Caenorhabditis elegans: one gene and its partner. Each later gene encodes a partner of the first gene's protein in a complex. Each region holds a gene or a part of one and is shown on either strand. Other genes may lie near its edges. The genes, in order: gld-2 and rnp-8. A codon is read from its position in the direction of its gene.

Region 1 (5,062 bases):
CTGTGAGATAATTTTTCTACAAGTCTGTAACATGTTTTTTTTAAATTTTACTTTTTTTGAGATTAGTCTTTTTTTCGAGTCTTTGAATTTTTCATACAATAAACTGTTCTCGTATAGCCTTGACTGTTTTTAAATCTATAGCATAATACATACGCTTTATGGCAAAATTACAGGAGAACTATGTTTTAAATTTAAAGTAGACCTGATTACGCGACATCTCTGGAATCTTTTTTGACCTACGGGCGCAGGCGCGACGATTGCGGAAACATAATTTCAACTGCGTACTAATGAAGAGATGGAAATGCTTATTTTTTGTGATTTCTAAACTTTTGAATCTTCATCATGACCACCGAACGTGTTCTCCAGTATCCGAATTTGTTAAAAATCGTCCCATATCTCAGTTACAGTAAGAGGTTCGTTAATTTTTTTTTTCTGATTAAAAACAGTGAAGCATTACATTTTTTTATAGAATGGAGCTTTCGAAAGTTTCTCCAGAATTTCGATCAATTCACAGTCGATTAGACTATTCACTGAAGACTATGTCATTCTCTCAGGATTACGGAGCAATCAGTGAAGAAGGACCAATAGAAGTAGGATCAGGAATTTTGAAGGTGGAGTCAATTGAATATATTTTTGAATACGATGAGAACATGGATCAAGTGAAAATCAAATGTTTGTTGGCCCCGGAACTTGTGAGATTCTCGAATGATAAGTCAATAATCAGAAGATATTTTCATTATTACCTGGCCGCTTCACAACGAATTGTTCAGCATGTCAAACTCAGGGTTTGTGAATTCATTTTTCGATTATTCTTGTTGATTATAAATTACATTTCAGGAAAGTGACAGTCCATTTCGAAACCTTCAAAGCCTAAAAATTCCATCCATTTCTTGGACTCTAAACGGAGCTAGAGAATATCCTCAATTCATCAATTTCCAAAACCATGTTTTTGAGAAATTAGAATTAATCAATTACGAATCGATCGTATTGACGGAAACCCAGGTATTAAACGCATGGTCTATATTTTCATTCAATTTACGTTTTTAAGGTGAAAAGTTGCAAACACCTTGTACTAAAAAAGGAAACAATTTACCAGGAGTACACCGTTGGAAACGAGAACAGTGCCATCAGAAATTTCTATTGTATCCTGAGCAATATGAAGTTGGAATTGGTTTTGGGACTGAATTACGTCGAATCTTTTATTCTGCTTTGTAACGTAAGTCATTTCGCCGGTATTTGCTCCTTTTATTTCTCGTATTATAGCGTCTTCTTCTCGACACCCTTCACATAGGATCATCTGTCACTGCAATTTTCATCAAGGAACCTCTTCTAAACGTTTGGAGAACCCTATTGGAACGATATGAAGACTCGCGAGGAACTTTTATGGGTTCCGGACACCGAAAGTGTGCTATATTGTCAACTGACAATAATATCAAGGTAGCAGTATTTGAAAATTATTTCGGGAAAGACTCCAATGGAAAAGAGAGTTTCACGGCAATCAAAATGAACAACAACGTGGAATTTGATGCCTAAATCATTTATTTCTCATATTGAAGGATTTTAAATTCACTAACTATACAATTAATTATTGCAATTGTCTTACATTATATTGGATAAAATTCATCTTATTTTTATTTTCGTTTAGAAGCAGTGAAACCATTTAAAATGAAACGAAAAGAAATTCCACGTCGCATTTTCGAATATCGACGTGACCATTCCACGTGAATCATTTCCGTTTTTCGTTAGTTTTTGAATTAATTTTTTGTTCAATTTTTACCCTGAAAATGCAGCAAAATCAAGAACACAACGACTTGCCGAATTCGAACTGTTTCTCAGTTGCGCATGGAAATTCTACCGTACGCCAAAAGGGTTTTTTTTCTTCACAGCTTAAAGGCGCAATACCTGACACAGTGCATGGGTCTCGCCGCGAGATACGGTAAGCGAGCGCCAACGCCACGCATTGAAAAGGCGCTGAAATTTGATTTAAACTTCGCTTTTCAGCTCGCTTTCTGGCAGTTTTTCCGACGATTTCCGTCGGAGATATCCGTCTAATTTTGTCGCCAATATGGTTATGGCTCAACAGCAGAAAAATGCAGAACGAAACGGTGAGCAATCTGAGTTTTCAATCAAAACTTTATTTGAAATTGAGAATCGATTTTTGAGCCAATCTCAACCTTCTCATTCTTTTAATTTATGATTTATCTTTTCAGACGAACACACTCGACGCAACAGATCTCCTTCAGTCGATTCAGTAAGCCGTGTGCAGCAGCAAAGTGGGGGCTTTGCATTTTATAATCAGCAGTCAAACCATCAATATCAGCAATCGCATCCACGACGTACAAGCTTTTCGAGGGATGGGAACACTGGATACTACAACAACCATTCAGGAAATAAAAGACGTCAGTCAGAAAAATTATTGACTTGCTACCAAATTGTTCATTTTCAGAAACCTACAATAACCAGCGCGGCGGACGCAGTTACAATCATCGCGGGAATAGCAATTATCAACAGAATGGCGAGTATTCTGGGAATCAGGGATGTGTCCCAAAATATCATCAAAGGAATCAAAAGTAGAAAATCGAATTTCGTTTTTGCTATTCCTATTAAAATCGGTATTTCAGTTACCCTCAACTGCAACCAAAGTATTCCTACTTCCAACCACATCAGAGACCAATTTTTAACTCGACCCAGGGTAGGAAATTGTGATTGACATAATTTTAGATTAATAGCCTTACATATCTCCCCTAAAATAATAATCTGAACTAATATGAAGAATAAATAAATTTTTTTCAGGTTACGGCACATATTCTGTCCGTCGGTCATCGCCACCATCTCCATCAGCTCTATCAAGCTCAACAGCGAATTCCACATCAAACCGAGCTCCGACGCAGCCTCCAATCCTGCTCAGGCACGCTGAGCCAGCTAGTGATAAGAATCATCAAGGAAGCGATCATGAGCAAAATCATGATCCTAAAATTCATTTGTACAGGTCGGCTGGCACCGCACCGGGTGGATATACTCAATGGTAAATTTGTTTTCCAGGCCTGTATTTCGAATTTGAAGGTTTCTCATTTGATCTACCATAAATGCCCAGATGGTTTATTGCTTCGAAAAGAGTGGCATTTTTTGGCGGTTGTGTTTTGGGAAATGATAATTAAATTTTACAGGAGAATTTTTGAGCCTTTGTATTTTATCTAAATCTAATTTCATCTCATCTAAAAATTATAATTTATAGCCCATCTCCGTACAAACAGCCACCACCACAACCTCCGTCTACACCATCATCTTCCGATAAACGGATTGAGCAGCAACAAGCAGAGGATTGGCCGACGCGGTTTCAACATCCTCCTCCACAATTCAGACGCGGTGAGTGTTATTTTTTTCATTTAAAAATTTTCTAAGTAATATTTTTAGGGCAGGATCCAATGCCAGCCTCAATAGAGCTCCAGCATAAGACCGCCAATCAAACGATGCCAGTTGATATTGTACAGACGAATCAGCAGAAAACTGTGTCATCTTATGAGAGGGCTGCACAGTTTAGAGGTTGGTTCAAGTCATAAGCTCTACTTTATGTTTTATTCAATTACTTTTTTCAGCTTCTGCAAGTGAACTACCAACGGACAGTGTCGATGCAAAACACCCGTGTTTCGCTAACGAGCGTATGCAAAGTGCTTTAATCGGGTTAGTTGGAACAAATCTCAAATTATTTCAAATTAAATTTTAGTTCTTTAAATGCTGAATTCTGTCTTCTGCCCAGTATATAATTATATATTTCCCACGTTATTCTGATACTAGTTCTGAGATTCGGGGAAACTCATTGTCGGCTTCATCAGCTAACTAATAATTATCTTGAATGACATTGCTGGAATGTGTCCTCTGCCCTTGTCACTTCATTATTATTTATTCGTATCTTCTCATCTCATTTCCTGTACTGTTCAAAGAGAATGTCCTCCGTCTAGTAACTAGAAGCATAACCAGTTCATCATCAACAACAATCAATGGTGGAAAATCGGATATTAGACTATTAAGAAAAACTAATAATTTTCGGAATACACTCAAGGGATCATTTATCCATGATATTCAAGAATTCGTGGTTATTTTTTTATAGAACTGAGAAGAACGGTAACTTGACAACTTTCATGTTGATGTTATTTCTCAAAAAACCAAGTTTACACTTATAAATTCTGAAGATTTTTTGCAAGACTGCTTACGATTAGTTTAAACATACACTTTTCTGTTGGTTTTATCATCTTGTCTCTAGAAATTTCTCGGTTTTACTTCCTCTGTCAGGTTTTTCTTTTGTATTTTTTAGTTTCTAATTCCATAAAATGGAAACAATAACACGATTAACAGCGGCTGTAATTTTGCATAGATTAAAAAGTTTATATTGTCAATAGTTAGACAAAATTGAAGTTTTTCATTTCCAATGGCAACGCCTACGAGACATTCCTCTTGTAAACGATATCATCTCCAGATCTGAACATCTTTATTGTTCTACTCTATTTTCTGTGTTTCGTCTTGATCATACCCGTAGTGTTTCGATTTTTGAACTTAACTATGATTAGTTTAGTGACTATCGGATAATATTTAGGAGACCGAATTATAGTTCGTGTCGAATTATGTTATCTTTATGAACACAAGGAATATATTCTACCTAGGCCAGCTAGGAAATTGCATCTAAAAAGTTGCGTGTTCCACTTGATTGGACTAAAAGTTTTTTTTTTAACATGAGCGGATAAACAAAGAATATCGAAGATATTTCAAATGAAATTCATAAACTTACCAATCATCTGCAGGTGGAACTAAAATAGTAAAATGACATTTATCCGTTCACTTTACACCTTTCTTCACTCTCATCTTTCTCTTTTTCACTGTGATTTTCACCCGACCACGAAAAAAGTGAAAATCTGCAGGCAGTCCCTATGTATCTCTGACTTCTTCTTTCTCTCCTTTTCGTCCTTTTTTATTATTATTGTTAGAAATGACACAGCTGAGAAAAGGAGATACGAGGTACAGTGAAAGGGCGTGTAAATGTTATACATATGGCTTGATCTGTGTGTAT
Region 2 (6,515 bases), 6.0 Mb from region 1:
GGATCACAAGGAGATGATTCATCAGGCGGAGAAGCTGTGTCCCCACCACGTCAGTCATTATCTCGGAATGGATGTTCACGATTGTCCGACAGTATCCCGAGACATTGATCTACCACCGAATGTGCCATTTACCATTGAGCCGGGAGTGTATGTTCCGATGGATTGGCCTGTCAAAGAGTTTCGTGGCATTGGATACCGTATCGAGGATGACGTGGCGACTAGTGAAGCTGGAGGGATTGAGCTGTTGACTGCTGCAGTGCCAAGGGATCCCATCGAGATTCAGAGGCTCATGGGAACGGCCGAATAATTGTTTGAATGTGGAATACCGAAAGAATTGAGAAAATATTTTAGAAATTGCTCCAAATTTGGCCCTGATTTGATATTCCTTTGTTCAAACTTTTCGCTAAAAACATTCTCATTGGAGCGCGTTATGCCATGTGGATTTACGAGATTCAGTTTTACACATTTCTGTCGGTTTTTTTGCTGAAGATCTGCATTTTCGTGCCAATTGAACATTTTATTATCCAAAATTTTTTGCGAAAATTTTCAAAAAAATTAGTTAACTTTACACGAAAATCGATAACAATGATGAAACTCGTTGAAAATCTTAATCTCGTAAATCGACATGACTTTGCGCGCTCCAATGAGAATGAGGCTGGAGTGGCGGAAAAATAATAATTTAGAAAAATAAATATTTTCTTTTGAATTTTTCGGGCCAAATTTGGAGAGATTTCGGTACTGCGCCTCAAATGTTTTTTTTTTGTTTCTATAGTTTCCTAGTTTGTATTTTTTTTTTTGAAAAAACTCGCATTTTCATTGTTTTTCCTATCATTCCTATCAGAGGGGACTCGGGGGAACACAAAATTCAAAATTCACAGAAAACTAGGTGATGATGTTGCTGGAGGCAAAAGAACAAAAAAAGATAGAGAGGGTGGTGTTGGTGGTGGTGGTGGCAATATAAAAAATGAAAAATATAATAAAACAGGAAACGATAAGGCAATAGTGGGATAAAAACGGTATGAAACATCATTCAAACTGAGATTCAGCACAGGAATACTTGGGATGATGTGTGTATGTGTGTGGAGAGAACGAGAATTGCGAAAATGCAATAAGATTATATTATTGTATATGTGATCTTCTCCTATATTTGGAGCATTGTAGCTCCTGGAGCAGCAGCCGGAGCAGTAGACACTGCTGGAGTTGTATTTTCGATGATTGAAGACGCCTCGTCGAGCAGCATCTTCTCGTCGGCTGTAGCGTGTGGGCAAAAGTCCGACAGATCACCGACCAAGTGAGCAATCGATGGAACTGACGAGTGACGGCACATTGGGTATTCCTGGAAAAATTAATTAATTCATAAATATTTCGTGAAATTTTTAACAAATTATATATTTTTTTAAAGTTTCGCTTTATGAAATTTTTGAGTCTTTTGGCTCAATTTTTTCAACAAAAAAAATTAAGTTTTTCTGCAAGTTAAACAGGTTTTAGTATAATTTTCGCCACATCTGACGCGCATGGGTCTCGCCACGCGGATAACAGGTTACTGTAGCTCGTGTCGATTTACGGGTAATGCATTCGATATTTCAACCTTGGCAGCAAATTTTCAGAGGCACCACGTTTTCAAGTTGTTGGCACGGTGCCAGATCCGGAATCGCACCAGATCTTGAATCCGTGGTGCCTCTTTCGTTCTGCTCCCTTTTCGTGGGGCCTCAAAACTGGCACTTTGGGAATACATTTTCCGAGAAGCAGAAACTTCGAAAAAGGGGGGCGGGGCATAAGCAGTCACGCCCAGAAAATGGACAAAAATTTTGACTTTTTTGAACTTTAAAAAGTTGGGAATTTTTTCGGTAATTCAAAAAAAAGCCCCCGTACCGGAAAAACGAAATGCTTCTTCTCGGAATTCGGTGCTGCCGAATGAGAATTCGACGGAAGACGACTATTATTAATGTCGTCGTAGTTGATTTTCGGCTGCTCAACACATTTCTTCTCCGCGTTTTCGTTTCCTTCGGATAAGTAGGTTGGTGGTGGTCCAGTTTCAAAAACATCATCCTCAGTCTCGTGGAACTCCATTGTCTTTGGTTTGATCGGTGAGAACTCGGGCGACGCGACTTGTGCAGTTGATAGGGATCCACTTTCGGCGCGAAGACGTTTCAGCGGAGACCATGGTGCCGGTTCGTCATGATGATCGATGTTGGTTGGATTGATTCGGAGATTTCCAGTTGATACAATCATATCCGACAACTCGTCGTTCGTCAAATCACGCTTCACACCGGTTGTTGGTCCCAAGTGTTTTGTGATGAATGAGCAATTGTCGGTGTCGATTGGTGAGAGACTGTCGAAGGCCGATTGAGGTACACGAAGGCGACTGTAAGCGAGAACTGCCGGATCGTGTGGAGATGCGATTTTGTCGTCGTAGTGGCCGGATGGTTCTGGAAATTGATTTTTTTTGCAGAAGGAAAACCGAATTTTGGAAAATTTAAAATGATTTAAGTCGTTTTTTTTTAGAACTTTAACGAAGATTAAAAAAAAAATCGACGTAAATGAAGGAAGCTCGCTGGAAAACCAAGGTGTTCTGGCTCGACCCCCCCCCTCTCGAAAATTTTGGAAAATGGCGGGAAAAAATATTTGAAATCGCAAGAGGAATTTTCACGCAGCGCGTTGAAAAAGTGCATGCATTTGCGCGTGACGGTGTTTGCACAAAATACACCGAGGGGTCGAGCCAGAAACTCGCTGGAAAACTGAAAAAGCACGAAAGAAGTTAAATAAATGGAAAGCTCTCGTAAATCTACACGAAGCAAGCACGCTCCAATGAGAAATTCTTCGGGCGCGCATTTGAAAAAGTGATTAGCACACGAGAAGTCGAAAATCAAGAATTTTAAGTAAAAAATACCAAATTGTCTGCAAAAAAATGGTCAATTGCTGAGTATACTAGCTGCGTAAATCGATGAATTGACGTTTTTCGAGAAAAATATCCAAAAACTTGCAATTTCACGTGAAAATCGAAAAAATTATAGCAATTTTTCAGAAAAATTGAAATATCGCCAATTTTCGCGTGAAACACTATTTCGGGCGTATTTTCGAGAAAATTTGTTTTTTTCCCAAAATCTCCAAAAAATATTACTAGATTTTGAAGCATAAACAACTGGCGACGATGTTCTCGGGTATTGCTCATAGAAAAGCGATGGATTGATAACCGAAAGGTTCGGACGCTTCTTCTTGGCCACCTCATCCGCGTTTTGCTCCGATTGTTGTCTCTGAGCTATCTGAGCCAAAAACTGTTGTGGGGACAGCTTCTGTCCTGTGGTTGCTGCTCCGCCGCCGGCGTGGTGGTGGTCATCTTTCTTAATCTGCAGCTCCATTTTCCACGTTGGCGGGCCATGCTTTTGATCTTTTGCTGAATTCGTACGAGAACGAGATGTGCTTGTGGATTCACAAGGTCTGAAAAAAAAACCAATTTATTGATTTTCAAAATAATTCAAAAATACTTTTGATAATTAGCGAACGGATCCGTGGGGGTGCTCGAGCGAATCAGGTTGGCAAGGTTGTCGAATCTGAATTTTAAAAATTAGTTTTCTTTTTGCTTAAACAGATTAAAATAGACTGAAATTCGAAATTTCGCCGATTTTTCCTTTTCGCAGCAGCTGGAACACTTTGTTGCATATTCTGGTCATATTTCAACAAAAAATAGTGTAAAAATATAGAAAATCACTTGATTCGTCTGAAAATAAAATCTAGTACATCTAAAACATTCTAGAACATATATGGTGGAAAAATATTGATTTGCCGAAAATAATTGCCTGAAATGTGCCTAAATCAAGAAAAAACTGCTGCGCTACGGGAAAAGTCGGCGAAATTTCAGATTTTTTAGCGAAATTTGGCGAATTTTGCACCTTTTGGCTCCTTCCACATAGTCATCAAAGCGAAAATCGATGGGATTGAAGCCCGAATACTGCTGCACTGGATGATTATCGAACAGAGTCATTCCCGGGTACGTTTCGTTCGGATACTTGTTCTGATTGTACTGATTGTATCCACCGGCGGAACGTCGGCGTCCATAGCCCCCGCCGCCACCATTGAAACAGCCCGTCGAGTTTCGATGACCACGTGGATTCGGTGGAAGGTATGATGAAGCCTGTGGGTTCTGGTTTCGGTACTCGGGGAACGAGTGCTCTTGACGATACGAAGAATTCCCGGAATTTCCCTGATGTTTGACCTTCTCGAACATCGTTGAGATGGCCTCGCTGTTCGCGTGCGAACTTTCTCGCAGTGGACGAATGTGCAGCTGACGGCCGTGAAGAGTTGTTCCTTGAAAGTTTACGAGCACCTGATACAGGCCTTGAACAGTTCTGAAAATAGGAAAATTAGAGATTTAGATGAGGAAAAATGGAAAAAAAATGCCAACTTGAAAACAATGAGCGCGTGACGGGCGGCTCCATTGCGAACGATGACCTTCTCGACGTGAGCGACACGATTGAACACCTCGAACAGTTCTATGTCGGAGATTGTCGGCTGAAGACCCGAAACGTAGGCGGTTCGGTCGCAGCGATCCGCTTGACCATTCATCCCTGCAAAATGATGCAATTTTCTAAATTTTTGTTGGTTTTTTAACAAAATTTTCGTTGAAAATACGGAAATAATGCAATTTGTCGGTGGGAACTAGAAAAAATGGCCAAAATTACCGCAAAAATCGTTTAAAAAACATGAGAACTGGTCGCACAAATTCGAAAAATGAAAATAAGCGCGCACTCTTACCGTACTTGTTACATTCGGTGTGAGACCCAAACAAAAGTTTGATGCACGCGCCTTGAAATTTAAGCATTTAATTTTCAATGTTTATTCAATTTTTAATTGTTTTAAATTATTATCTTGTAGAATTTTTTGCTCAAAAGGTATAACGGTTAATTTTCTGTTTTTTTAAGTTAAAAAAATCAAATTAAATTCTGCGACTTTCCGCGGAAAACAAGAATATTTTCAAATACCGTATGTTTTCTGTTCGCTTCGAGACCCTGGCTTAAGTGAATTGCATGCGCCTTGAATACCTTTACGCTTGTTTTTTTCTCAAAATATTATGAAAAACAGATTTTTCAACCAAATTTCCTGAAAAAAATGTGAATTTTCAGCGTTTGGTTGTCGAAAATTTGAAATATATTCCATGAAAATTAATTTTTTTCCAGATAACGATGATTATAACGATAATTCCCTTTCTTCTTGTTTTTCTACCGGGTAAACACTGCGGAGATCTCGAAATTTCGGAAAGGGAGCGGCAAGGTATTCAAATGTTGGAGCAGATTAAGGGTCAGCGCTTGACAGGTATTTTTAAATTAAATTTCTTCACTAAATTTACTAAATTTAAATAAAAATTTCCAGCTGGACATCCACAATTCTTCGATCGAAATCTGGAACTTAATGCGAGTTTTCCTGCGTATAGTTAGTTTATATAATAATTTTTTTCTACTTTAATATTAAAAATAATTTCAGTCTACGGAAAGGACTCCATAAACCTGTGGATTCACTGGATGAGCTCACTACCACCGCTCCTTAACTGCTATCTTATCGTCGATGGGCTTCTCAGCGGCGAAATCGCTTCTACGGATCTGACGAATCAGCTATTAGATCGGGATATCGATTTTGATAGGATTTCAAGTTTCTACAAAACAAAATCTATTGGCGGATGGGATGAGCAGAGAGCTTTCGAGGAGATTGTCGGGAAAAGGAAGAACACTAAAGTTTATAAGGATAGAGAAGAAGCTGTAAATTTACTTAAGAAGCTCCCACATCTTCAACTACAGCGAGAATCACTGAAAAAGATCACCACCTCGCTGGATGCTTTTTTGCATTTATTTCATGATCTCCAATCTCTCATGAAACCAAAATACGGATGGGAGGCAACATGGGGCCTGAAAAATCGCCTGAAAAATTTCCGTGATTTTCTCTCGCCACTCAATGATCTAGCTCCCAGTCCTACTGCGATTTCCGAGGAGAATTTGCAAAAACTGAAAAAATGGTTTGAAGGTAGATTTTAATTAGAGGAATTTTTGTCTTAAAGTAAAGTTCAGCTATTAATATATAATAACAAAAAAATTGATCAGAATTTTAGTAAACACATTTTTCAAATTTAAATGTATTTTTCTCAAAAAACTTGTATAAATGTACATGCAAAAGCATTCCACATGTTTTTATTTTATAAGTTAAAAAATTAATTTTTAAAATGGACGTGGTTTGACTTTTAAACAAGTTTTACATTTAAAAAAAAGCTGTTGTACAAAAGCTGCTGTTTTGATTTCCGAAATCTAGGAAATATTTTCAAATAACTAAAAAAAATTCCTCTGATTCAGAATATCTGTATGAAAAAAAAACAAAAAAATTTCCCTGATATTATATTTCAGCTTAAATTCGTGAATATTATTTGCGTCCGAATGAGTTTTTTCAAATGCGCGCACAAATAAATTTAAATTTTCATTGCAGCGCGTTTGCCTCATTTGATTTTCTCGTTGAAAAAATAAAGGAACTAAAAA

The links.
Region 2: the proteins of gld-2 (region 1) and rnp-8 are in contact, whole or in part, in a crystal structure (PDB 5JNB), measured with the Caenorhabditis elegans proteins. Residues at the interface, in NP_491842.2 of Caenorhabditis elegans: Trp554, Asp564, Leu567, Leu571, Arg574, Tyr578, Val584, Phe585, Pro586, Leu587, Ser588, Gly589, Leu590, Tyr591, Val592, Leu597, Gly599, Met612, Ile613, Thr614, Asn615, Lys616, Leu618, Asp623, Val626, Val627, Asn629, Leu632, Ser633, Gln636; in NP_490724.1 of Caenorhabditis elegans: His182 (codon at 3,964), Pro183 (codon at 3,961), Val184 (codon at 3,958), Gln185 (codon at 3,955), Phe190 (codon at 3,940), Ile193 (codon at 3,931), Phe195 (codon at 3,925), Arg196 (codon at 3,922), Phe197 (codon at 3,919), Asp198 (codon at 3,916), Asp199 (codon at 3,913), Tyr200 (codon at 3,910), Val201 (codon at 3,907), Gly203 (codon at 3,901), Ala204 (codon at 3,898), Arg206 (codon at 3,892), Phe207 (codon at 3,550), Asp208 (codon at 3,547), Asn209 (codon at 3,544), Leu210 (codon at 3,541), Ala211 (codon at 3,538), Leu213 (codon at 3,532), Ile214 (codon at 3,529), Arg215 (codon at 3,526), Ser217 (codon at 3,520), Thr218 (codon at 3,517), Pro219 (codon at 3,514), Pro222 (codon at 3,505).

What each region holds. Positions count from the first base shown.
Region 1 is NC_003279.8:6,367,964-6,373,025, forward strand, and holds the start of gld-2 (Poly(A) RNA polymerase gld-2), read left to right. Parts: upstream 1-1,784; 5' UTR 1,785-1,936; intron 1,937-2,001; 5' UTR 2,002-2,065; coding exon 2,066-2,105; intron 2,106-2,210; coding exon 2,211-2,399; intron 2,400-2,446; coding exon 2,447-2,570; intron 2,571-2,621; coding exon 2,622-2,692; intron 2,693-2,793; coding exon 2,794-3,025; intron 3,026-3,235; coding exon 3,236-3,366; intron 3,367-3,414; coding exon 3,415-3,543; intron 3,544-3,596; coding exon 3,597-3,681; intron 3,682-5,062. Other genes in the region: ZC308.4 (F-box domain-containing protein), read left to right, coding at 343-413, 470-785, 838-1,002, 1,049-1,216, 1,264-1,533. UniProt on the Caenorhabditis elegans protein: Cytoplasmic poly(A) RNA polymerase that adds successive AMP monomers to the 3'-end of specific RNAs, forming a poly(A) tail.
Region 2 is NC_003279.8:362,567-369,081, reverse strand, and holds rnp-8 (RRM domain-containing protein), read right to left. Parts: upstream 4,573-6,515; 5' UTR 4,564-4,572; coding exon 4,403-4,563; intron 4,347-4,402; coding exon 3,891-4,346; intron 3,552-3,890; coding exon 3,486-3,551; exon of another isoform or gene 3,439-3,485; coding exon 3,122-3,438; intron 2,430-3,121; coding exon 1,873-2,429; intron 1,337-1,872; coding exon 1,142-1,336; 3' UTR 503-1,141; downstream 1-502. Other genes in the region: icpp-55 (Aminopeptidase P N-terminal domain-containing protein), read left to right, coding at 1-307.